Linked DNA regions of Drosophila melanogaster. Each later gene encodes a partner of the first gene's protein in a complex. Each region holds a gene or a part of one and is shown in the gene's direction. Other genes may lie near its edges.

Evidence for each region.
Region 2: Nup98-96 (region 1) and Mgtor share a complex: the UniProt entries of both Drosophila melanogaster proteins name them as parts of the nuclear pore complex.
Region 3: Nup98-96 (region 1) and xmas share a complex: the UniProt entries of both Drosophila melanogaster proteins name them as parts of the nuclear pore complex.
Region 4: Nup98-96 (region 1) and Nup205 share a complex: the UniProt entries of both Drosophila melanogaster proteins name them as parts of the nuclear pore complex.

Annotation. Positions count from the first base shown.
Region 1 is NT_033777.3:23,775,612-23,783,184, reverse strand, and holds the start of Nup98-96 (nucleoporin 98-96kD), read left to right. Parts: upstream 1-1,563; 5' UTR 1,564-2,020; coding exon 2,021-2,300; intron 2,301-2,360; coding exon 2,361-4,898; intron 4,899-4,977; coding exon 4,978-5,496; intron 5,497-5,564; coding exon 5,565-5,747; coding exon of another isoform or gene 5,748-5,767; exon of another isoform or gene 5,768-5,969; intron 5,970-6,077; coding exon 6,078-6,253; intron 6,254-6,309; coding exon 6,310-6,592; intron 6,593-6,651; coding exon 6,652-7,573. Other genes in the region: mbc (myoblast city), read right to left, coding at 797-845. UniProt on the Drosophila melanogaster protein: Part of the nuclear pore complex (NPC). Required for MAD import as part of the Nup107-160 complex and required for nuclear export of Moe probably via its association with Rae1. Plays a role in nuclear mRNA export.
Region 2 is NT_033778.4:11,850,896-11,855,624, forward strand, and holds the start of Mgtor (megator), read left to right. Parts: upstream 1-1,721; 5' UTR 1,722-1,860; coding exon 1,861-2,011; intron 2,012-2,452; coding exon 2,453-4,729. Other genes in the region: Sln (silnoon), read left to right, coding at 1-187, 264-390, 452-833. UniProt on the Drosophila melanogaster protein: Component of the nuclear pore complex (NPC), a complex required for the trafficking across the nuclear envelope. Functions as a scaffolding element in the nuclear phase of the NPC.
Region 3 is NC_004354.4:17,156,271-17,161,240, reverse strand, and holds the start of xmas (xmas), read left to right. Parts: upstream 1-1,934; 5' UTR 1,935-2,026; coding exon 2,027-2,070; intron 2,071-2,134; coding exon 2,135-3,668; intron 3,669-3,728; coding exon 3,729-4,970. UniProt on the Drosophila melanogaster protein: Involved in mRNA export and mRNA coupled transcription activation.
Region 4 is NC_004354.4:19,850,515-19,858,241, forward strand, and holds the start of Nup205 (nucleoporin 205kD), read left to right. Parts: upstream 1-1,699; 5' UTR 1,700-1,833; coding exon 1,834-2,055; intron 2,056-2,134; coding exon 2,135-2,458; intron 2,459-2,545; coding exon 2,546-2,647; intron 2,648-2,737; coding exon 2,738-3,300; intron 3,301-3,364; coding exon 3,365-3,865; intron 3,866-3,921; coding exon 3,922-5,473; intron 5,474-5,573; coding exon 5,574-6,958; intron 6,959-7,021; coding exon 7,022-7,727. Other genes in the region: pico, read right to left, coding at 349-498. UniProt on the Drosophila melanogaster protein: Plays a role in the nuclear pore complex (NPC) assembly and maintenance, but with limited role in NPC permeability. Required for specific nuclear import pathways such as Mad import.

The DNA of each region.
Region 1 (7,573 bases):
CTGGGACTAGAGGTACCTGTACTTTATGTACCTGTCGTATCTATTGATCAGCGGTGAAAAGGTCAACAAAACGAGATCCATAAAAAATTCACACGCATTCGAAGCGGGTCGCGATTAGATATTTCATGGTCACTGCCATTGAATTGGGATTTGTCTCACAGTGTACACAGAAAATAAACATTTCTACTGTCAGCTTGATGCAGCTTGCCTTGGGTTTACAAAGACCAGGTTTCAAATCCCACACCCGTAAATACGTAAAAGTTGTAGTACTAATGTTGTAGTACTTCAGATTTAAGTTTATGTAAAATTACATTAATTGTATAAAATTTCTTTATGTGTACCAGGCCTTTTTTCTGGCAGTGTGTTGCAGTTGCACGTGAGAGACAGAGACAGTATGAAAAGCGAGAGAGACAATAGAAAACAGGTTTTAGTTTCAAGAGCAAATCTCAGAATTTTATGCTAGTGTTGACTGAGCAGGATGAAATGAAATGAAAAACGAAACAACACAGTGAGAGCGGGAAAGGGAGGATCAACAGCAGCCGAGTGAGCGTGTGCAAGCGAGAAGGTGCAACAAGTTTTACCGTAGCAACGCAGCAGGAGGCACACACATGCGGTGAAATAAGAGAGAGAGTTAGAGAGAGAGGTGGGGGTGGAGATGAGGTGTGCTCTGGAAAAGAGCGCCCAACAGTTCATAAAGTTTTCCTTTATTGTTGTTTACAAAGCACTTTGTTTAAACATTCCTGCCTAGCCATATTCTACCTAATTTATCGGCTTAATAGCCGCATTGCCAACTTACCAATGCCGAATTCTGCCTGCTTGGCATTGCAGTCGCTCCACACACTCATCTTGAAGGCTTTTCTTCTCGTTGTTGTTGCTTCTACTAGTGTTGTTGCTGATATTGTTGTTTTTGCGCCGACTTTTACCACCAACACGGCGACAAACGATCGCTACTCACACATGCAAAGCGATGGACTTTCGTTTGCGAAAATAAAAACAACAAGACATTAAATTAGGCAACGGCAAAAGAGCAACACGTAGTTGAAATTTTGATTTCGTTTTCACAATGCCGCCAACACAAGCATTTCGCCTCCGATTTCGCTACAGATTTCGACGAAAAGCACACCGGTTGGACAATTGCAACCAATAAATAATTATTGCACAAAAGCTAGCATTCCGCACAAATTGTCGCTCCGCAAATGCATTTTGCGCCGTTTTTCGCTCGTTTTGTTCTCGACTTGTATTTGGGCTGGGAGTTGGCCGCTGCCGCTCAGCTAATTATCACATGTACACGCACTCGATCGCACACACACTCGTGTGTGACAGTTGCCAATTAATTAAATAACCGCTCTCGGAAAACAACCCGCGCGTTTCAACTGTTTGTTGTGAATGAGCGTGCTCGATGCCCAGAAGTACCGTACTGTTCCCAATCGAAAATATCAAATATAGAGTGCCCCTTACAGCGTGTTCACACCGTTGATGTCAAATGGGTTTTCACTTTGTTCGCAGTACGGTCACATAAAAATGTGAAAATCGAGCTTACCTACAAAATACGAGAAACCCAAGTTATAAAATACATTTTCCACACATTCATAGTAAATTTGCTTCGGAGGCACCAAGCAAAAATTTTATTAAGACCATAAATAAGTTATGGTCAATAGTTATGCGCCTGGCAGTTGTATCCTGCTTTTTTACAGTGTATTTTTGCATGCGATTTCACGCCTTGGTCACACTTTTGGCTGCATTTTCTTCAACATCGTGAAAAAATCGGCGCGCCATTTCTGTCCACTTTTTGCGTCAGACTCGGTCGACTCCTGCTGACTTGACAAATTCGCGAGTGTTTATTTGTTTTAAGCTAAGCCTGTCCGGTCCCACAACCTTCGCATCCGGCGCAGCCGCCCCAGCTTGCCCAACGTGGTGAAATCGAAGCATTGCTCATCGCGATAGTTGGCATTCCGGCGAAGGACAAAGCAGGGGATCTACCTAGTATATGTTTGTTATCTGAGCAGCAGCAGCGAGCAAAATGTTTGGCGGCGCGAAACCCAGCTTCGGAGCCACTCCGGCGGCCACCAGCTTTGGCGGATTCAGCGGCACCACAACAACCACTCCGTTTGGCCAGTCGGCATTTGGCAAACCCGCCGCACCGGCCTTTGGAAACACCTCCACCTTTGCCGCCCAACCCGCGCAGCAGTCACTGTTCGGTGCGGCAGCCACACCAGCTCAGCCCGCCGGAGGCTTATTCGGGGCAAACACGTCCACGGGATTTGGAAGCACTGCCACAGCTCAGCCCACGGCTTTTGGAGGTTAGACACGATCATTTGAAGTGGTATCATGTTACTAATTTAGTAATTTCTTCTTTGCAGCCTTCTCGCAGCCGCAACAGACCTCGAACATATTTGGATCCACCCAGACGGCGGCAAGCACCTCCCTCTTTGGACAATCGACGCTACCCGCCTTTGGAGCCGCCAAGCCGACTATGACGGCCTTTGGGCAAACAGCTGCTGCTCAGCCCACGGGCTCTTTGTTTGGCCAACCGGCTGCCGCCACCAGTACAACAGGATTCGGAGGCTTTGGGACGTCGGCGCCTACAACCACCAATGTTTTTGGCAGTGGCACCGCCTCCGCCTTTGCCCAACCTCAGGCTACGGCCGTGGGAGCTTCCGGAGTCAATACGGGCACGGCCGTGGCCAAGTACCAGCCAACCATTGGTACAGATACCCTGATGAAGAGCGGTCAGGCAAATAGTGTGAACACTAAGCAGCACTGCATCACGGCTATGAAGGAGTTCGAGGGCAAATCTCTGGAGGAGCTCCGCCTGGAAGACTATATGTGCGGGCGCAAGGGTCCACAGGCTGGGAATGCTCCGGGAGCTTTTGGATTTGGAGCTCAGGTTACTCAGCCCGCTCAGCCTGCAAGTGGTGGCCTGTTTGGAAGCACTGCCCAACCAAGCACAGGTCTGTTTGGCCAAACTGTGACCGAGAATAAGAGCATGTTTGGCACCACCGCTTTTGGCCAACAACCGGCGACTAACAATGCATTCGGAGCAGCAACCCAGCAAAACAACTTTCTGCAAAAGCCCTTTGGAGCCACCACCACCACTCCGTTTGCCGCTCCCGCAGCTGACGCTTCAAATCCATTTGGGGCGAAGCCTGCTTTTGGACAGGGAGGAAGCCTCTTTGGTCAGGCACCTGCTACCAGTGCGGCTCCTGCTTTCGGACAGACTAACACAGGATTCGGAGGCTTTGGAACCACAGCCGGAGCAACGCAACAGTCAACTCTTTTTGGTGCCACACCAGCCGCCGATCCAAATAAATCAGCCTTTGGGTTGGGAACGGCTGCATCAGCAGCCACGACAGGTTTTGGATTTGGAGCTCCAGCAACAAGCACCGCCGGCGGAGGCCTTTTCGGAAACAAGCCCGCCACTAGCTTTGCTGCTCCAACTTTCGGCGCAACCTCCACGGCTAGCACTCCGTTTTCAAATTTTGGCCTGAACACCAGTACAGCAGCAACGGGAGGAGGCCTTTTTAACTCGGGATTGAACAAGCCAGCAACGTCCGGATTCGGAGGTTTTGGAGCCACCAGCGCAGCACCACTTAATTTCAACGCAGGCAACACGGGCGGATCACTTTTCGGAAATACAGCCAAGCCGGGAGGAGGTCTTTTTGGAGGAGGTACTACAACCTTGGGTGGCACGGGTGCTGCCCCAACGGGAGGACTGTTTGGAGGAGGAACTACCAGTTTCGGAGGTGTCGGTGGTTCCTTGGGCGGAGGAGGCTTCGGTATGGGTACAAACAACTCGTTAACTGGTGGTATTATGGGAGCTCAGCCCACACTGGGTATCATGACGCCTTCACACCAGCCCATTCATCAGCAGATCCTAGCTAGGGTAACTTCTCCCTACGGAGACTCTCCGATTTTCAAGGATCTAAAGCTAAGCAGTGAAGCAGATGCAACAAGAGCTACAAATCCTGCTGCCCAACAAGCAGTTCTGGACCTGACCAGCAACCAGTACAAGATAAGTACCAGCAACAATCCTGCTCCAATGAAGGTAAAGGCGCTGGGCAGCACACTTAATAGAAAATCGCTGTTTGATGGTCTCGAGGAGTTTGATGCTTCTGTAGAGGGCTTCAATCTGAAGCCCAGTGCTAAACGATTAGTTATCAAACCCAAAGTAAAAAGTGTAGAGGGTGGAAATCCCTCTAGCTCTATTGGCAGTGCTCCCAACACGCCCCAATCTCGACCCAAAGGCGCAACTCCCAACAAAGAACGCGAGTCGTTTAGCGGAGCCATTCCAAGTGAGCCGCTACCACCAGCTGGAAACTCGCCTGGAGCAACGAATGGACGGGAAAGTCAGGATAACGGCCGCCGTGAGTCATGGCTGCATCCTAACAACCTTGAGAAGGTACGCCAGCACAACATTCAGACTGGAATGGATCAGGGATCGCCCCATAACAGCACCCTCAACGAGCTTGTGCCACGTAAACCTTTAGATACATACCGACCATCCTCCACCGTTCGCCTCTCGGTGTCAACCATCCCAGAGAATCCATTTGAGGATCAATCCAGCACCATTGCACGTCGCGAAACCTTCACTTCGCAGCAGGCCAATGAGAGTGTGCTTTCGAACAGATCTAATGAGGCAGAGGACTCTGCAGCAAACCAATCCCGCCTAGCCATTGAGGCAGCTGCTGCAGAGGCAGCAGACGACGAATCACATCCAACAGGCATTGTGCTGCGACGCGTGGGTTACTATACAATTCCATCGCTAGACGACCTACGCTCCTATCTGGCCGAGGACGGATCCTGTGTGGTTCCGAACTTTACGGTGGGTCGGGAAGGATACGGCAATGTCTTCTTCGGCAAGGAAATGGATGTGGCTGGCCTGAACCTCGATGAGATTGGTAAGAGTCTTGTGTTTTTTTATAACCGTTTGTGTTTGCTCTCATACATTTATTTAATGCAAAACAATTTGTATCACAGTCCACTTTCGCAACAAGGAGATTATCATTTATCCCGACGACGAAAACAAGCCGCCCATTGGTCAAGGTCTAAACCGTGACGCCCAGGTCACTTTGGACCAAGTATGGCCGTTGGACAAGACCAAGCACGAAGCCATCAAGGACCCACAACGCTTGCTTGAGATGGACTGGGAGGGCAAGTTGCGCCGGGTGTGCGATAAAAACGATACGCGCTTTATAGAATACCGCCCGGAAACGGGTAGTTGGGTCTTCCGCGTCAAGCACTTTTCTAAATATGGCCTGGGAGACAGCGACGAAGAGGACGAGTTGCCCACTGACCCGAAAAAAGCCAAAATTGCAACGCTTGAGGCTCAGCAGCGGGCAAACGCAGAAAAGATGACGCTCAATTCGCTGCGCCAAGCGCAGAAGATTTCAGAAGATGCAGCCCGTAACTTGGACCCAAAAGCCTTGGTCGCAGGTGTTGCCAGCGGATTCAGGCCAATGGATGATACCGCCGAGTTCCTTTTAATGGACAAAACACGTACGTCTAAAGTCCATTTTAAAAGGTTTAGTTTCATTAATTGTAATTTACTTAATTTTAATTCGCAGAATTTTTCCAAGCTGGTGGCAACTCCGATTTCTCCATGTTTGATCCACCGCGTCAACGTCCAACGATTACCAGTCCCACAGCTGTTTTGGCTCAGGAAATGGTAGGCAACGAGGCGCACAAAATGCAGCTAATGAAGTCATCCTTCTTTGTGGAGGACAATGCTCCCGAGGACGAACCCATGGGTAGGTGGATAATCTCTTGATGGTCTTTCAAATTGCTTACAGTAAAAGATATGTAGATGTTTAAATGTTAATCGTTAGTTTTGAGCAAATATGTATTGTTAATTATCAACGATATTTAATGATTTTTGATCGTTGCAAAAAGTATTATATATATATATTTATGTTTAAAAAGGTAGCACAAATTATAAAGTTAATAAAGCTTTCAAATGTGTTAGTAAATCCAATTCATTTTGCCTGCTTTGGCAACAATTCATTATAATTACAACAATTCACTGCTTATCATCCCACACGGCCACTATACATTTGAAAATTACTCATAAATTTCTACAGAGACTACGGGGCGTCTTCTTCGTCATCGCAAGTTTTTCAACGTGGAACCTCTTGTTTGGAAAGATGGTGCCTCCGAGAGTTCCAGTCAGTACGATTTTGAACACCCATCGCCCGCTCTGCCGATTTCTTCCTCCGTCTCTGAGGCCAGCCTGATGTGTGATGCACATTATGAGGAGGTATATCGACGTAACCTTTTACTTTGAAGCCCAATAAACATCCTGATCAATTTCAGACATCGTCGATGGCAACTGGAAGCATTGTTGCAGCTGTAAAAGAAACGAAGTTTGAAATGCCTGTCACTAAAGCCTTCAAGTTTGTCTGTAAGCCCAAAGTGGCTCCGATTAAGTTGCGTGCCACCACGGTTCCCCTACCCAGGTCCATCGCTTATGAGATGCGCGATAATTGGATCGCCGATTTGGGATTCTACAAAGGACGCAGCTTTAAGCTCAGTTTTGGTCCACAAAACTCATTGGTACTGCCAAGCACCTATAATAACATGCAAAACCTAAAAGAATGTAAGAATATCTGAAACAAGCTGTAGCAGTCCAATTATAATAATTTCCCTTTGCTTCAGTTACTGGACCATCCCTGCCCGTCTCCATGGTATTTGCGCCGCGCTCGGCCACCGATTTGTCGCCCAGTGTAATGCAGTTGGTGGAGTTTAACATGGTCAAAGGCAACGAGGGTTTTCGAGAAAGTATCATTCCCCATCTCGAAGTTCAGCTTAACGACTGCCTCTCAGTTAATGTGGAGGGTAGTGAGTGCCCGTGTATACATCCCGATAGCGGTACGAAACTAGTTTCCAAGCACTTCTCCGAGTCTCTTAAGCAGAGAAATGCTGGCTTAAAAGAGGACTATAGCGTGTCAGTGTGGTCGCTTTTATTCGCACTATGGGGCGATCACGATGAACTGGTGGACCTGGAAAAGAACTCTCATTACATGGTCATGTGTCGGCGCAATCTGCTATCCGAGTGGCTTGAGAACACGCTGCTGGGCAAAGATCTACTCTCGAAAAAAGTTAGCACCCACAGCTACCTGGAGCACATGTTGGATTTACTTAGCTGCCATCGCGTAAATGAGGCTTGTGAGCTGGCCTTCAGCTACGATGATGCTAATCTGGCTCTTGTGCTGTCCCAATTAAGTTCCGGAGCTGTCTTCCGGCTATTAATGGAGGAGCAGCTCTTTGCCTGGCAGCAGAGCAAGTCGGATAAGTATATCGATCTGGAGCGCCTTAAGATGTACATGCTGGCCGCCGGAGCGCCAATGATGCAGTCTTCACATGGGGCCATCAACTTACTCGAGAATAAAAACTGGCTGACAGCACTGGCCCTGCAGCTATGGTATTTCACAGCCCCAACATCGTCTATCACCGATGCACTCAATGCTTATAACGACGCCTTCCAAGCGGAAGAGTGCTATGCGGAGCCCCCAAAGCCCAGCTACAGGGACGCACCTACTGACACCAAGAAGCCCGTCTACGATTTGCGCTACCACTT
Region 2 (4,729 bases), on another chromosome or scaffold:
GCCGATGAGGATGACGATGACGACGAAGAGCGGGGACCACGCACTTGCTGCGAGCGCATCGAGATGTACCTGGACATCAGTCTGCTGCAGGACCCGAGCTTTATCCTGATGTGCCTATCCGTCACCTTGATGTCCGTCGGCTGTCCCTACATGTTGTACTATCTGCCCGCCCACGTTATTTCAATAGGTATACTATTTAAAATGTTCAAAGTATATTCTTTCGGCGTACGATTTTAAATATTATAAACTTGGTTCATCTTTAGGATACAATAAAAGTGAGGCGGGATACCTGGTGGCCATCAGCGCGGTCCTAGATTTAATTGGGCGCCTTGGACTTGGCTGGCTGTGCGACCTGCAGCTATTCGATCGCAAGAAGACCTACACCTTGTGGTGAGTACCAGATAAGGTTTATTTTTCGATCCAAACTAATCACATTTCCCTATATCGACAGCATTTTGGGCGCCGGATGTGCCGTGCTCACAATTCCCTTCGCCAAGACTCTGGTTTTGGTGGGTCTATCGGCCGCTGTCTACGGACTTTGCCTGGGTAGCTGGTATGTACTTATGCCGGTCCTCCTTGCGGACGTCTTTGGCACGGACAGGATCAGCTCGAGCTACGGGCTGGTGAGGATGTTCCAGAGCATCGGGGCCATATCGGTGCCTCCGCTGGCAGGACTGATGCGAGACCTTTCCGGAGACTACGAGATATGCTTCTACTGCATGGGATCCTGCATGGTGCTCGGGACCACTCCGCTGATTGTGTGGTCCATCCTGGAGGCCCGCAACCATCGGTTGTTTGTTCAGCGCGAGGAGGAGGAGTGCGAGGAGGCCTAGAAATGATTCGGATTCGTTGGTTGCCCCATATGTTAATAGTGTTTTAGTAGCGATCAAATACTAGTTGAGTTCCTGAGTTTCAGAGTTCGAATGCCTCACCGATATTGCTGATTCTACCAGTTACTATTACTACTATCCGTACGTTCTCATCCGTATCTTTGTATCTTAATCAATCCCCATGCCCACCCGCACCCAATCGCTTGTTATCCTTCCGTTGAGCAACAGCAAAAGGATGTGTAAGATGATGATATTCAAACGAAGAAACCAAACAACCTAAACAACCAACAACTGAGCACCAAATGTTGCGCAAAAAGAACTGAGTTTAAAAGACATGAACTACAAATACCCGTATATAACTTTATAATATGATAACTACGATCAATGCCCGACTAGATGGTTATATAGGCCGACTATAGTTGTAGGTTCGCACATCCATATCGGAAAGGACTAAACTTTGTGCAGGAAAAATTAAGTGGCTTTAGACAGAAGGGAGGCTTGAATGGAGAACATCACATTACATTACCCTAGAATTAAAATAGTTGTTGTGAGACATTTACCCATAAAGACAATTACCAAATAAACACGAAATCAAAAGGTTAATCGCGTTTTATGGAATTAAAGGGAATGATTTCGCTTGGTTTGGGTTTTGCATTCGTTTATGTTATTAAATAAAGTCCTTTCTTTTTTTATTCGTAATAAAAACGGATTTTTCAACCACGTTTAAAAAATTTTTTTTATGAATGAATTTATCTCTTTTTAAAGAAAAACATTTTGTTTTATTAGGCTGTGAATAGGCTGTTATAACGCTGTTGAAACAGTGAGAATAATATACTCGAATCGATAGTACCGAAAAATATCGATATTGTTCCATCTCCACTGCATTGACGTTCATTTTTTCGCGTCCCTAAAGCGACTTTGTGCACAATTCGCAAAAAATTAAGACTAAAGTAAAGTAAAAAGTAAGAAAGTAAACTTCGCACCGCTCCATATAAATTTAACCGCTGCTTGACAAGGATCAACTGCGAACATGGATCTCAGTGGTCCACAAACTCTGAACAACATACTTCAGCCCGACGAGTTGAAACTCGTGCCGGAAGACGTCCAGAAGAAATTGTCGGAGTACATCAACAATTTCTCAGATGAGTACTGCAAGAACCGTGCGGCCGCCAATCGGTTGGGTAAGTTTTTATATTTGTATATATACTAAAATGCGCCATATTTTGCAAATAACCCTTTATTTGCATGCGTATGCTTTTACCTCCAACTTTGCGGCGTTTACCGGCTCAGATACCGCTTCTTGTAATAAGCAATCCGCGACTGTATGGTTTCTAGCGTGGTAAACACTCTTGCGCCATTTACATATTTTTTGTATAGAAATTTAAATATAAAATTCCGGGTTGTTGCAATTAAAAACAATGGCTGCTTGCAGCAACATTATTTTCCTTATTAATTTTCACCTCACCGGTGTGGTAACACTGGCCGGACATTTTCCCACCAAAACAGTTGATTAGTCCGAGTTTGAAATCTTCAGGGAATTTCTGTGTATTCATTTTAATCCAAATACTTTGTGGTTACTTAAATCCAGTTAAGAAGATTATTTATTTTTGCCCTTTTCACAGCCGAAGCCGAGCAAAAAAAGGAAGAGCTGGAGAACAAAATGGAGGACTATCTAGTAAAATTTACCAGCTTTGAGTTAAATGTAAACGAGCTGCGCACTCATCTAGATCAGATGTCTTCGGAACGAGTTAACCTAATGGACACGATCGCCAAAGGCGAGCAAACTATATCACAGTTGCGCAAGGAAAAGGCGTCGGTAGTTGAAGAACGCGATTCGATGATGAAGGTAATCGAGCGCCAACAAGCGGAGCTGGAACGATTGAAGCAGGATCTGCACACCTACCAGCAGCAGCTGAGCAGCGCGATTGCTGCCAAGTGCGAAGCCATTGCTCGCGTGGACGAAATTCAAAGTAAGGAAGTGGCTCTGGAGCTCAAAGAGAACCGCATGGAAAGCGAACGCGATATGCTGCACAAGGAGATTTTGTTAATCAGCGGAGATCTGAACAAAAGCAACGCCGAGTTACAGAACATCCGACGGGAGCACACAATAAACACCATGCAGCTACAGTCTTGCCTTAAAGAAAAGACCGAATCGCTAAAGCTGATGCAGGAACAGTACGAACAGGCCGTCAAGACCATCGGGGAACTAACCAGCAAGATTGAAATGCAAAACGACACCGCCTTCAAGCAGAACCAGGCCACGGAAGAGTATGTGGGGAAGCTGAAAAAGGAACTTGATGCCAAAGAGAAGCTTTTTGAAATCTTTAAGAGCACCGAATCCGATCATCTGATCCAACGGGAGGAACTCCTACAGGGCATCTCCGAAATTAAACGTTTGTTAGAGGAGGCCGAAGAGCAGTGCGCCCAGTTGACGGAGCAAATGGAAACCATGAAGCAAAAGCACAGCGCTGAGTTGGACGAGCAAAATAAGAAGATTCAGGCTATGGAACAGGAGCTAGCAAGTGCCAACGATTTGCTAAAACAGGCCCGGGAAAGTAATTTGGAAAGCGCCATATGCCAGTTGGCTCCCAGTGCGGCTGTGGCTAGTCGCCTTATCCGCTCCGATCTATCGCTTACCGAACTTTACTCCATGTACGCCAAAAGCAGCGAAGAACTGGAGATGCGAAACTGCGAAATTGAGCAGTTGAAGTTGCAGCTCAAGTCGATCATTGCTGAGATTTCAGAGAGTGCACCGATTTTGGAAAAACAGAACTCCGATTACCAAAAAATGAAGGAAACTAACAGTGAGCTCCTGCGGGAGCATGATGAATTATTACAAAATAAGCTATGCCTTGAGCGGGAATTGGAAAGGGCCTTATCTACCCTTAATCACAACCAAAATGAGAATAAGAAACTAAAACAGACACACACCGATCTCAGCCGACAGGTGTGCATGTTGCTGGACGAATTGAACTGCATAAGGGCTGGAGTGAAACATGTACGTATCCAACCAACTCGTCAGCTACCCACCAGCGAAAGTTTGATCAGCGATAACTTGGTAACCTTTAGTTCTATTGAAGAGTTGGTGGATAGAAATACATACCTCCTGAATATGTCCCGCGAGCTCACAGAACTTTTGGAGGCTAGCGAAAAGAACCAAGATAAGATGTTGCTGGAGCAGTCTAAGAATCACATAAGAAAACTGGATGCGCGTTTTGCCGAATTGGAGGATTTATTAACGCAAAAGAACAATACGGTTACTACACTACTATCCAAGTGCGACCGCTACAAGAAGTTATATTTCGCGGCTCAGAAGAAGCTCGGTCAAAATACTGTGGATCTGGACGACTCCAATCTGGAGCCTAACGACTCTGCACTGGATACTTCAGAGCAGCCGGCAGCCAATTTTGAGGAGAGCAGGAAACTGGAAAAGAGGGTGCGACAGCTGGAGCAACAGTTGGAAGGGGAGGTCAAGAAGTATGCCTCACTGAAAGAGAACTACGACTATTACACTAGCGAAAAGCGTAAAAACGATGCACTGGCCCAAGAACAGTTCGATTCTATGCGTAAGGAGGTGCGGGAGCTAACCAGCAGTAACTGCAAGCTTATGAACACCACCGAATTCCAGAAAGAGCAAATCGAACTACTTCACAAAAATATAGGCACCTACAAGCAGCAGGTGACTACATTGGAAGAGCGTACCAAGAACTATGAAAAGACCATTATTAAACACGAGCAAACCGTACATTTGCTCAAGGACGAAATGATGGCGGCACACCGCAAGCACGCAGCAGCCGATGCAGAGGCTCAAAGCCTTCGCCAAGAGAACCGCATTCTAAGGGACACATCTTCTAGACTGCAGATCGAAAAGGAGACTTATCACCGCGAGCAGCAGAGCC
Region 3 (4,970 bases), on another chromosome or scaffold:
AGTAATACTTTATAATACTATATCATATATATCAGGTATATCCCCTTACCTTGCCGGCCGCCTTGATGTAGCGTCGCGTGGCCTCCTTGACGAGATCGCGGACGAGGAGTTCGCCGGAACCACAGGGAACCAGAATGCGAACGTCGCCGAAGCAGACGGTGACCTTCATTTCGTACTTTTCGTGTTAACAATAACTATTATCGTCTTCGATCTGCGATAATAAGTATGTATTTTTGACTGCTGCAATGCACTTTTTATTTTGCACACACATATATGCACTTGATTAAATTGGGCGATCGTTTCTTTAACTTATTTTTTTCTCGAATTTTTCGGATTTTTTCCTATTACTATTTTGTATGCAGCTACTTTTTTTTAACGCTATGCTCGTCTGCCTGCAGCAGCTTTTTGTTGTTCTTGTTGCTGTTGTTGTTACGACCGCATCATCATCATCGTCGTCGCTTTCCAGCTATCGCCATCCTTGTTGCTCCTTTCGCGTGCACAGTGCGCTTGTTGTTGCTGTATTGTTGGTTGTTAGGCAGCTGCAACAAAAGTTGGTCTAGGGCGGCATGGGTGCGAGCGAGATGGCTGCGTGCCTGGAAAAAGGATCGGGATCGCTTTCCAGTATGTACTTGTAGTCGCTCTCGCGCGCTCTCCCTCTCTGTCGCTCTCTGGAAACTGGAACTCTCTTTTGCTATTTACTTAGCATATTTCACCGTAAGGCATCGTTGTTATTGTTTGTTTTGTTGTGTTTGTGTGATTCATACACGCGCGCATTAAAAAAAACGAGTTACAACAACGGCAACCATAATAACAAGAACAACAAACAGCGGGCCAAGATCATTTATTTACTTCTTTTTTTAACGTTCTTCGCTCTCGCTCGCAAACTTGGCATTTGTTTTGGTCAAATTATTATATATTATGCGCTGTAGATTGCATGGTTTTAAATTTACGGTTCGATCATCGTTTTTATATCTTTTCTGTTACTCTCTTTTAACGTTGCTTTTGTCGTGTTTTTCGTTTTCGGTTATCTCCTTTTTCGCCCGTTGGCGTCGCTTCTTTCTTGTTGTTTATCACTTTCAACTATTCATATTTCGATTGCAAGTGGAATAGTATCGTTGACCGCCACTCTTATTAACGAACTATTTGAACTCAAAAAAATGCAAAAAAAATCCACGAGCAGCGCGTTGATTACTGCGCTTCGAGTTCGAATTCGCCCTGGCGAGCAACAACAAATGACCAAAATTCTGGGGATGGCAGGCTCATCGATACTATCGGAACAGCAGCTTGGCTTCTTCGCGGTATTTGGTTATACTTTACTGGGCGGTCACACTACTGCTCGTTATCTCCCGCTTATTTTAAAATCAGGGATTGGGCTAAATGCCATCTAATTCTGCAATAAGTTTTATTGAATTTGCATTGCTTTATATAAGTCAGCCTATTAAATAGAGATATTGATTAAGAGGTAATTAATCGTCTTAAAATATTAAAGTGTAAAGATGAAAATATTTCTTATGTAAGCTATGTATAAATATAAAATACTAGGAACAACCAATTTCGATAGGATTAATTGTATAGTCCTAAGAACGACAGATAGTGTTATCAAGATCGAGGAGTTTGAATCGAGAGCTTAAAAGAGAATAAAAAGAACTTAAAAAGATTGCTACACCTATATATATATTCATATATATATAAGATAATATAAGAAGATGTTCGATTTCATTCAACAGTTTAAGGAACGCCCCAAGCATTTCCTAATTTCCTAAGAATATATGTTTACCAACTCCTGTTAACATTTTATTTATTAGGCAAATACATTCATCTCGAATGTAAAACATTAAAATTTTCAATTAAACCTGAACGATATTGTGTGGGTGGGATAGCCATTGCGGTATTTTTTTCGCGCCATTTTCAGATTTGCGTTATCGATTACCGGCAATCGCTTGACGGCAATATTGTAACAACAAAGCACACATTCGCTCTCATTCAGCTAAAAAAGAAACTAAAAACCTTAAACTATATTCGATCGATGGCAGAACCCCGTCCCGGCGGCTACAACTACAAGACATTATTGTGAGTAAAAGTTCGTTCATCAAAGGCAGAGCGATGTCAACTATAGTTCCATACGAATCCCCAGATGCAGAAACATTCCGGAGCTATTTTTGGACAAATATGTGGCGCGTTCGCACTTTGGACGTTTTGGAACCCTCGTAAACTTCGTCCTGCGTCCGCGGCGAATGACCTGCACCGTAAGCTATGCCAGCGAGGACGAGGCGGCGCGGGCGCTTCTCGATGGCGCCAGCTTTCAGGGTCACCTGTTTGATATATCCTATGCTGATAACGAGACGGCGCCGGCACAGAAAACGGAGGAGTGGGTGGATCCTGACATTCAGGCGGAGTTGAGTGCACTGCAGTCGGGCTGGCGCAATGAGTATGGGTCGGGCAAGCCGATAAAAAAACCACAAAATGGCAGCAGTGGTAGCGGTGGCAGTTCAATGCTGCCTGCCATACCAGTTGGGCCCGCAACGGCGCCGGTGAGCAGAGATCGTACGCCTGCCCAGCTCAGGGATCTTGAGAACATGATGCGCAGACCCGCCCATACAAGCGAGGAGAAGTTCAGCGTGCTGGATGCCCGCGATAAGCTGCTCCGGTTGAACCGAACGCAACACAAGCTGTCCGGTGCCACCCAGGGTCACTGCGCCGATATGTGTCCGGAAAAGGAGCGCGTGCTGAGAGAATTCCAGCGCCAGGTAGCCTACTATGAACTACAACCGGGCTCCGATGAGCTAATCTGTCACGAAAGAGCCCTGAAGCAGTACTCGCGCAGCAGTGCCGACCAGGAGACGCCACTGCCGCATGAACTGCGCAATGAGACTGCCCTGCACATGACCATGAGCTATCTAATGCATGAGATCATGGACATTAGCGAGCGCCAGGATCCGCAAAGCCATATGGGCGATTGGTTCCACTTCGTTTGGGATCGCACGAGGTCCATCCGAAAGGAGATCACCCAGCAGGAGCTATGCTCTCTGGGCGCTGTGAAGCTGGTGGAGCAGTGCGCCCGGTTTCACATTCATTGCGCCGCCCGTCTGGTTGACGCCGATCCCAGCGTCTTTGACAGCAAGATCAACGCCGAGAATCTAACCAAATGCCTGCAGACTCTGAAGTACATGTACCATGACCTGCGGATTAAGGGCGTTCCATGTCCCAAAGAGGCGGAATTCCGGGGCTACATTGTGTTGCTCAATCTGGCCGATGCCAACTTTCTCTGGGACATCGGTCAGCTGCCCGCGGAACTGCAGAGTTGTCCCGAAGTGCGTCAAGCCATTCAGTTCTACTTGGCCCTGCAGGACACGAATTTTGTGCGGTTCTTTCAGCTGCTGGCTGACAAGGATACCAGCTACCTGAGTGCCTGCATCCTAGTCAATTACTTTACGCGACTGCGCGTGCTGGGGTTGCATCGTCTGATCCAGGCGTATAGGTCTCCGCGGAAGGATGAGGTGTCTTCGCTGCCTCTCAGCTACATCGCCGAGCTGCTGAGCTTTGCCAGCGAACAGGAGGCGGCGGATTTTGTCCAACACTATGGCCTGCAGATCAACGAGGCGGGCAGAGTTGTGCTAAGCAGAATGCACACGGTGGAGACGGAGTACAAGCTGCCGCGACAGTATGAGGTAAGTAAATGGTTTTCTTTTTTTTGTTTTATTAATTTGATTTTTATTATCCACTTCCAGTTGGTGGAAGTGAAACGCGTGAAGAGCGTGGGCGAAGTCGTCAGTGGGGAACCTTTACCACCACGAGACCTCTACCTCAATCACCGACCGCACAATAGCTTCGACGATTATGGAATGCTTAAGAGCATTGCATGGACGGCCAAGGATCAGCTGGCTGGCATGCAGCAAGAGGAGATGCAGCCACAAATGCCTTCGCAGCCACCAGCAGTCTCAAAACATAGCGATACTTTGTTTAAGGTGCCCATGCAACCCGACGGAACGGCAGCAGGGTTTGGAGTATTTGCTGCGGCTGCTGTTCCGCCAGCCTCCTCCATCGATGGATTCAGTTTTGTTCTTCCCAAATCACGTGCTCAGGAGTTCCAGGAACAAGCTCCGGCTACACAGCAGCGACGGGCACAAGAAGAGGCCAAGCATCAGGCCCTCCAAGTAGCCATTGCCGCTGCAAAGAAGCGGGAAGCTGAGCTAATGGCTATTCACGAGGCCAAAGTGGCCGAGGCTGAGCGAGTGCGTCAGCAGAAACTCAGGGAACGCCAGGAGCAGCAGCGTCGCCAGCAGCAGGAACTGGAGGAACAACGCCAGCGGGAGCAGGAGAAACTTCAGCTGGAAAAAGAGAGGCAACTGAAACTGGAACAGTTGTTTTTTGTGCAGCAGCAGGAAAGGGAGGCCCACAAACAGACCAGGACTTTGGAGTTGTATCAGGAAATATTCCAGGACACCCTCGCGGAGATTTGCCAAAGCGAGTTTATGTCGCATAGTCGGGCTTGCCGTTCCTACGAATCCATGCTGGACTCAATAACACGCGATCTCGTCGAGCGGCAGATGGAGCAATCCATCTACGAACTAGGCGTCATGAGGGTGTGCATCAGACGATGGCGGAAATATCGGCGAACGCAACAGGAGAAGGACACGCTATTTAACCAACTGCCTTTAAGTTTTGGAGCCGAAAACCCCGAAGGAGTGGTGAACAAACGAAGCATGGAAGATTCACTGCGTCTAAGCAGACGCTATCGACTTGGCGAGCCCTGCGATTATGGCAAACTTCTGGCTGGCCTGGAGGAGCATAGTTGGCTGAAACTGGATCTGTGGCACGTTTTGGACAAGTGTCTGCCGGTAGCGCAACCAGGAGCTAGACGCTTCTACAAGCTATTGATAAGCCTGTCCGGCGGCCAGGAGGGTCTCCAGTTGAACTGCGATTTGGATAGGGGACTACTGCAGCAGCCACAGTCGCCGGATGCTCGTTTT
Region 4 (7,727 bases), on another chromosome or scaffold:
CTCAACTTTGGAGTACCGAATTTGAAGTCTTTTGATCACCTAGCACTGCATAACTAGGTTATTTTCATAGCCAAGGAGTAAAGTATACTGAATACACTCGAAAAAAAAAACACTAATAGAGAATTATAGTTAATACAATTACCAACCATATGTGAGTCTACCATTTGCACCGTTCTTACTATAATTTGAAGAAGCTGTACTTTAAAGGTATAGTTCAGTTTCTTCCTGTGTACTCTGTCCTATGACTTCTTTTTTTTTTGTGTGTGGGAGCGAATTATGAAGTACAGAGGAAATGGTCGAGCAACACAAACGCACACACACATTTGGAGAAACTTGGGAGATACTTACATTTGTTATTGTTGCTGCTTCCTCGAGGCTGTGCTGTTGTTGTTGCCGCTGCTGCTGGTGGTGTTGTTGTTGTAGCTGTTGCTGGAGTAAGTGCAGTTGTTGCTGTTGTAGTTGTTGTTGCTGATGTGCCGCAATACCACCACAATCCATAGTAATTACGGGTGCGAGGGGGCGGGGTTAAGTGTGTGTGGGAGTGGAGTGGAGTCGTCAATTGGGAGCGCACTCTCTATCTCTCTCTCTCTCTCTCCAAATCTCGCTCTCTGTATTGCTGCTCCTTCGCGCGATCGCTTACTGCAGCGGAATGAAAAGCGAAACAGACATAATTGAAGAAATGCGATAGCTCTCCGTCTTGAATTTCAACGATTCGCCGTAAGGGAGCGCTGTTAACCGCTATTTCAGTCACTGTTTGTGTCTTGTTCCTTTTTTTTATTTTTTTTTATTTTCAGCTAACTCTGCAGTTTGCCTTTGTCCATATTTTCGGTGGAAAAACCACTTCCTTGCTCTCTCGCTCTGGCTCCCTTGCTCTTCTATACCGCTCTCTCTCTCGCTCGCCAGGCGTTGCGTGGGCGAACGTAGGGGAGAGAGCAAGCGAAACGAAAAGAGAGAGGCGAACGCAGTTTGGAGTTTTATGCACTGGAGTTGTGAGTATGTTCGTGTGTGCCTGTGTGACTGCTACCCCCACACACTTGCACTGCCTCTCTTCCTCTCTGTCGCTCTCGCACACCCAGTACCAAGTACTCTGAACTCCAACTCCAGTTACAAATTCAATTCCAATTCGAATAATTCCCAATGAAATTTGAATTTTCCTTCCAATTGCACTGGCTTTGGCAGTTAGTATCCCTTTTGGCATTTATTGCAGCCGAACTGCGCCGATTGCATTTGCATTTACACTTCTACATCCACTTCCACATCCACTTGCATCGACAGCCAGAACCAGCATCCCACTATGGTGCAGTTCAGCCTGCCCGCGGCCATCGGTGATTCACTCACAATGCGAACAGGACACCACTTGGGCAGTGCGTTCGCTGGCCAAATCAAGTGGCGGAGAACAGAAAAAAAAAAAAACGCGAATCGGAACAAAACAAATGGATGCTACTATCGGGTAACTACGAAAAGTCCGTGCGTAGATTTTCACGAAAACGCCCCGCCCGCGCCGCACTGAAGTTGTGTTAGTTAGTGGTGCGACAACGCACCGATGCAGCGCCTCGATTATCGTTCGATAAGCATCGATTTTCCGATTGACTTGGTTCGAATCAACCGTTTAGCCAGCGCAGCAACCGCAGTTAGCGGGCACAAGCACCGAAGCGCGTACGAGCGTGGTGAGTTCGTACGGTGGTGAACATCTGTGTTTTCCAGTATTTGCAGCACCCAGCCCTGGTAACCGGCGCCTTGTCGCAAAGCGAAGCAATCTTGCCGCGTTTTATAGTCAATAACTGCGAATCAGCAAGAACTGCGTGAACTGAGCGAACCGCAAAACCAAGTGAAATGGATGGTGAGTGCCTGGCCAACGAGCAGATGTGCGTGGGTCGCCAAATCACTAATGCCACCCATGCGTCCACAGCTGTAATCGAGGACATGTGGACGCCGTACAAGCATTTGTACAACACTTTTCAGACCGCGGTGTCCAATCGCAGTGGCTTCACCTCGGATCTGGAGCAGTGCCTCAAGAAGTACAAGCACAACTTCAGCAACTTGCTGCGCAATCCGGTGGGTATAGCAAAACAAGCGCTTGCAGATCCGTAGATTTAACTAATTATTGATAATCCATTATTGAAAATGTCGGCAGCCGAGAAGCGAGAAGAGCCGCAATCTCCTACGAAATGCCCTCAACGAAGGCGTCCCGATGCAGGGGCATTCGCGAAAGACAAAGATGTCACAGGACCTGGCCGACGAGGCGGTCATTCTGTCCGACATGTTCGATCTGGACGAGGGTTTCGCCGTGGAGCTGCTGTGCACCGCACAGCGCCAGCAGAAGCATCATCCCGGCCTGTCCAGAGGCCTTGTCGCGGTGCTGCTCTACTACGATGGACGAAAGGCCATCAGCTGCACGCTTCGCGACATGTTCCAGGTGGTTAGCGGCGTCTCGTGGAACACCGAACTGCCCAAGGAGGTAAGTTTCGAGATTTCGACATCGCAGGCATCGCAGTGCCGCTGAAAGAGAGATTCACTGACCCTGATTATCGTTCTACGCACGCAGATCACCGGTCTGGTCACTAACTATGCCGAGAGCCTTGTCGACGGCTCTGGGATACTGGGACGCCTGCTGCAGCTGCTCGAGGAGATGGATGTCGACAAGGAGGTGGGTTTGTATGCGCCTGTTTCTGAAATTCTCTGAAATTGCATATCTTCCTTCGCAAATTGTTATTCATTTGTTGTCCAACGTTCGCAGTGCGCTATGCTGACCACAAACCGCGCGTTTGGCTCCAAGAAGCATCAGAACCAGGTGCTCGGCCTATACGAGGACATTCAACAGGCATTGGCAATGGCCCTGTTCAATTGGTCGGCACAACGCGGCCTGCCGCGACACATTGCCATTCGGCTGATGCACCAATTGGCCAACCGAAAGAACCACGACGCGGGCGGCAACATGGACGACGTGACCCTGATCATGCTGATGGCTCTGCTGTATGCGTACGATACCTCCATGCTGCTGGTCACCGAGGAACCCAATGAGCACACAACCCGACTTCCGATCTTCAGCGATCGCGAGTTCGCCGAGTGCTTCCTGGAGGAGCTGTACGCGCAGAGCAGCTGGCAAGCACCGCGCCTGAATGCCATCATTGCCTACAGCTTCGGACTAACGCTGGCCAGCCTGCGGCATGCACCTTTGCAGCTTCAGGCCACCGCCATCTCGATCATCAATCGCGATGAGATGCTCATCGACGAGGCACTGGGAGCGCAGGTATTCGTCTTCTTCCACAGCTTGCTGCTCGAGAAGGATCTGGTCTATAGGTGAGTACTGACAACTGAAGTGTCAATTGCCGATTCGCAAGCTAATCATCATTTGTGCTGACAGCACGCAGTTCTTCTACCGCCGCGTCCATCTGCTCATCACGGACTTCATCGACTTCATGAACTCCAAGGTGTCGGAGCTGCGCGGCCGAGCAGACGAGTCGTCACACACGATCATCAGCTTCCTAAACGAGGGTCTGGAACCGCCGCCCAACTTGGACTCCAACTTTGAGCTGCTCATGCTGTGCGTGGCCAAGATGCACGGCGATCCGCGCGTCACCATCAGGCTGTGCAACGAGTACTGGGGCCCCGGCGATCCCAACGGCTCTACGGCATTCAAGAACACCTCGCGCTCGGTGTCGCTGTTCAAGTTCATTAGCTTGGCCAGCGACCTGCTGCCACAGACGCTGTTCAAGGCCTACCTCAAGATGATATCCGGACTTACACGGACCGATTTCTCGGCTCGATGCGCCTTCAACATGCTTAGGGTGCCCCAGATGGCCACCGGCGGCAAGTATGCGGTTAGCTGGGATCACTTCTTCACCACCCTGGGCAACTACTATACGTAAGTGTGACTCAAATCTGGTATTGAAGATCTCTCTGAAGATCACTATCTTCTAGTTCGATGCGCAACGACTTTAACACCAACATCGGCATGAGCGGCGAGACCATTTACCGCACCCGATCGACACCAAAGGCCATTACGCAGCGAGAGGCGGAGCATCTGGTGGCCGTAATGGGCATCATACAGGCGGTGGCGGAACACGACGAGGTCTCGCGCATCATGATCTGTGACCATCCCAATTGGCAGACGCCGCAGGTGCTCCTGGGCCTGGTTGCGTGCGCCACGCCGCTTTTTTTGAAGGCGGAGATTCTGCACACGCTGGCTGCCCTGGCCAAATCGAAGGAGACGGCGCGCGTCATCTGGTTCCACCTGGAGGCCTCGCAGATTATACCCACTGTGCCCGTGTCTAGAAGCTATGCCCAGTGCAGTTTGTTGGAGGAGATGGAACAAATCGAGAGCCGTTCGGAGCAGTATAACCTGACGCGCGGCATCCTCCAATTGCTCTACACACTGATGACCACCAATCTGCCGAAGAGTTTGGGCGCCGGGCAACGGACACCGGCCTACGAAGGCTATCTAAAGTCCATGATAAATTCGGTGTTGCTCAAGTTTTACAATCGCGCGTACAAGGTTCCCTCCGAGAAGTGGCAAGTTGGCGCCCAGTGCCTGAAACTGCTCTACTACCTACTGGCCACCTATCGGCCGTCCGCAATGGATTTTCTGGAGACAGTCGATGAACCTCCCTATCCGGGCTTTCACGTTATGATGCAGCTGCAGCTGAAGTCCGAAATGTTGCAGCTGCTGCTGTGCATTGTGGAGGAGGTGCGTGAGCGGCTGGACAACTACAATCGCTTTCAGGGCAAGAAGCTACTCGAGGAGTGCTCATTGTACGCACTGCTGATCCTGGAAGCCGCATTGGCGAAACAGAACGCCTTCTTTGAGGCCCACTCGGCGGCCAATTGCCCCATTTTGCTGTCGGGCCTGAATCGCATGCTCCTGGATCTGAATCCACGCAGTCGCAAGCCCGATCACGTGCTGAATATCATTAAGTATGTAACCTATAATAGCTGGCTGCCGCGGCACGCCCTGGCCGCCATTAAGATTCTGGCTTCGGTCACCCAGCTGCCGAATGTCTCCACCCAGATTCTCAGCATGTACGGTCAGGGCAGCAATGAGAAGCTCGAGATTCGTCAGGGTTTCGTCGAGTGCCTGGAAATGGAGGTGTGCGTGGGCAAGCACGACGACGATTTGTTGGACCAACTGGCCCTCAACAATCACGTTCCGTATCTGGGATTCGGCGATGATCTGGACAATGAGCGAGAGATGAGCGGGGAACGCGAATATTCAACTATTGAATCGCAACTGGAGCTGCAGGCGGGGGATGGCGCGCTGGAGAGCAAACCGGCTAGCATTGAGCTGCAACTGAAAGAGGCCATTATCAAGCTGTTCGAGATGAATCTTAGCCAGCAGTTGCCCAACTTTGTGTACTTCCTGCTCGGCGTGGATGTGCTGCGCGAATTTATGGCCAACGGACGGCAGCACCTGGCCATCGAGATGCAAAGCTCGTGCGTGAACTCCGTAGTGCTGTTGCTGGAAAAGTACATGGATGTGAGTTGAAAGCCATTGGCCATTACTATCTATTCTAACTAACTAACTAACTAACTAACTTACCAACTTTTAACAATCAAATCAATCTCTGATATTGCAGAAACAGCGTCACAGCGATAAGTACTGCGAGCACACGGCGAGAATCGTGGAGCGCATTTACCATCTGTTCCATGGACTCTGCGCCAATCGCCGCACCGCGGAGACGATACTGCGCTACTTCCGGCTAACGTGCAGCGACTTCCTGCTGCGTCACCTACGCTCGCTGCCCTTCCGGCAGCATCGCGAGGATCATGTGCTGCACGCCATGGGCCACCTGCTCAACTGCGTCTCTATCGATGTCAAACTGGCGGCCAAACATGGCCAGATGACGCGCTTCAACCAGATGTGCGACATTTTGCTAATTGGAAACGGAATGGAGCGTTCATCCCATGGCCTGTCGATGGAATTGGGCCACAGCCTGATTTCACAGCCGTCGTCGTCTTTCCTCGCCATGGATGTGCTACCGGCCGGTGGATCGATAAGTGCCGTGGCACATGGGGCTGGTTCGGCGTCTCTCGGAGCTCCAAACACTGGGGTCAAATCACTTAAGCCATCGCTGCTGCAGGAGACATCGCAGGGACTGCATGTCACCCGACTGCTAGATATTCTCGTCCTGGAGGCGGGCACGTTGAGCCAGCCGCAGCTGGAGTTCTTCGACGGGCATCTGATCACTCAACTGCTGCGCGACTGCGAGGCATCCGCCGAAGCTGGCGCCAATTCCAGGGCCAACTTGATCAACGTGCGCAAACTGTACTACATTCTCACCGACGAGCTGTACATGGTGCAGAGCATCATTGCCAGCGGCCAGCGGAAGGCCATTTCCACGGAAATCATGCTGCTGCTCAATCACGCCGTCAACATAAATCGCGTGCGGACACAGCGCTGCGCCACGCTGGCCTTCATGGCAGCATGGGGTCAACTGGTGCAGGTGCTCTTTAGCAACATGCCCGATGCCGTGCTTCCGGCGACGCAGCGTCGCCAGCACATCATCGATATCGTCGAGAAGGTACTCATCAAGGTGCAGCCCATACAGCCCATCATCGAGATATCCGTACAGGTGAGCGAGACGGTGCTGCTGCTGCTTGCCAATTTGCGCTACTGCTGCTACCAGGCCGAGGACCAGAGCCCCGAGGATCTGGCCGCCGAGGATTCGCTCAGCAATGGCAATGGCAACGCCATCGGCAACGATTCGCAGGTGAACGCATTGTGTCTGGGCCAGAGGGCAATCGGAACTGGTTCGGATGGCGGCAGTGGAGGTGGACGGGATATCGGTTCCGGTGGCAACAGCAGCAATCTGCGATTCATTCTCAAGAACCTCGTCCAGTGGATCATGATCAGTGAGGTGAAGTCGCAGAAGCTGCGCATCAATCTGTACAGTTCGCTGCTGAATTGCCTGCGGATCGCGAAGCGACTGCGCACCGACGAGCATCTGGAGTACCAGGAGACGTAAGTGTATCCTTCTCAACAGCAGTAGCAGGCAGTTGTAGCTTTCATTCTATTTCATTGCAGATTGATTTCGCGCCAGGAGAGTGCACGCACGTACAACAAGGAGCAGCGGCGCGACGATCGCCTGCGGCTGAAGGCCATGGCGGCGGAAGTGATTGGCACGTTCGGCGAGAAGCTGATCGACACCATCTGCCACGATGCGGTGACCGGCCACGATGTGTGCCGCATGCTGGCGCTGGCCTGCCTGGACATGATCTCCGAGCTGCAGGCGGTGAGCACGCTATGCGACTTTGTGGCATCGCGTGGCTACCTCAAGCACATACTGGAAAGCCTTGATCAGTCCAGTACGGCGCTTTGCGGGATTCTGCAGCCCGTGCCGGATCACCTGAGGCCGCTCTACGTCTACGAGTCGCGCATGGCCTTCCTCACGCGCATGGCGAACAGCAATGTGGGAGCCCGGCTCCTCCTCACCGAGCAGGCGCTGGGCGTGCTTTCGAATATGAAGGTCTATGACCAGCAGCCCGACCTGAAGTCCAGCGAACTGAATCGTAACGAGCCGCAGACCTTCCTCCCGTCCATCGATGACCGCTTCCGGTCGATCCTCCTGCCGGCGCTGAGCCTCTGCGATGCCATTGTCAACTCGCTGGGTCCGCGCAACAACTCCGCCGCCGTGCAGGTGCTTAACTTTCTGTTCGCCCACATCGACATGGTCGAGGCCATGTTGCGCTCGGCCACGCCGTATATGGACCTCGGCCACCTGCAGCAGGTG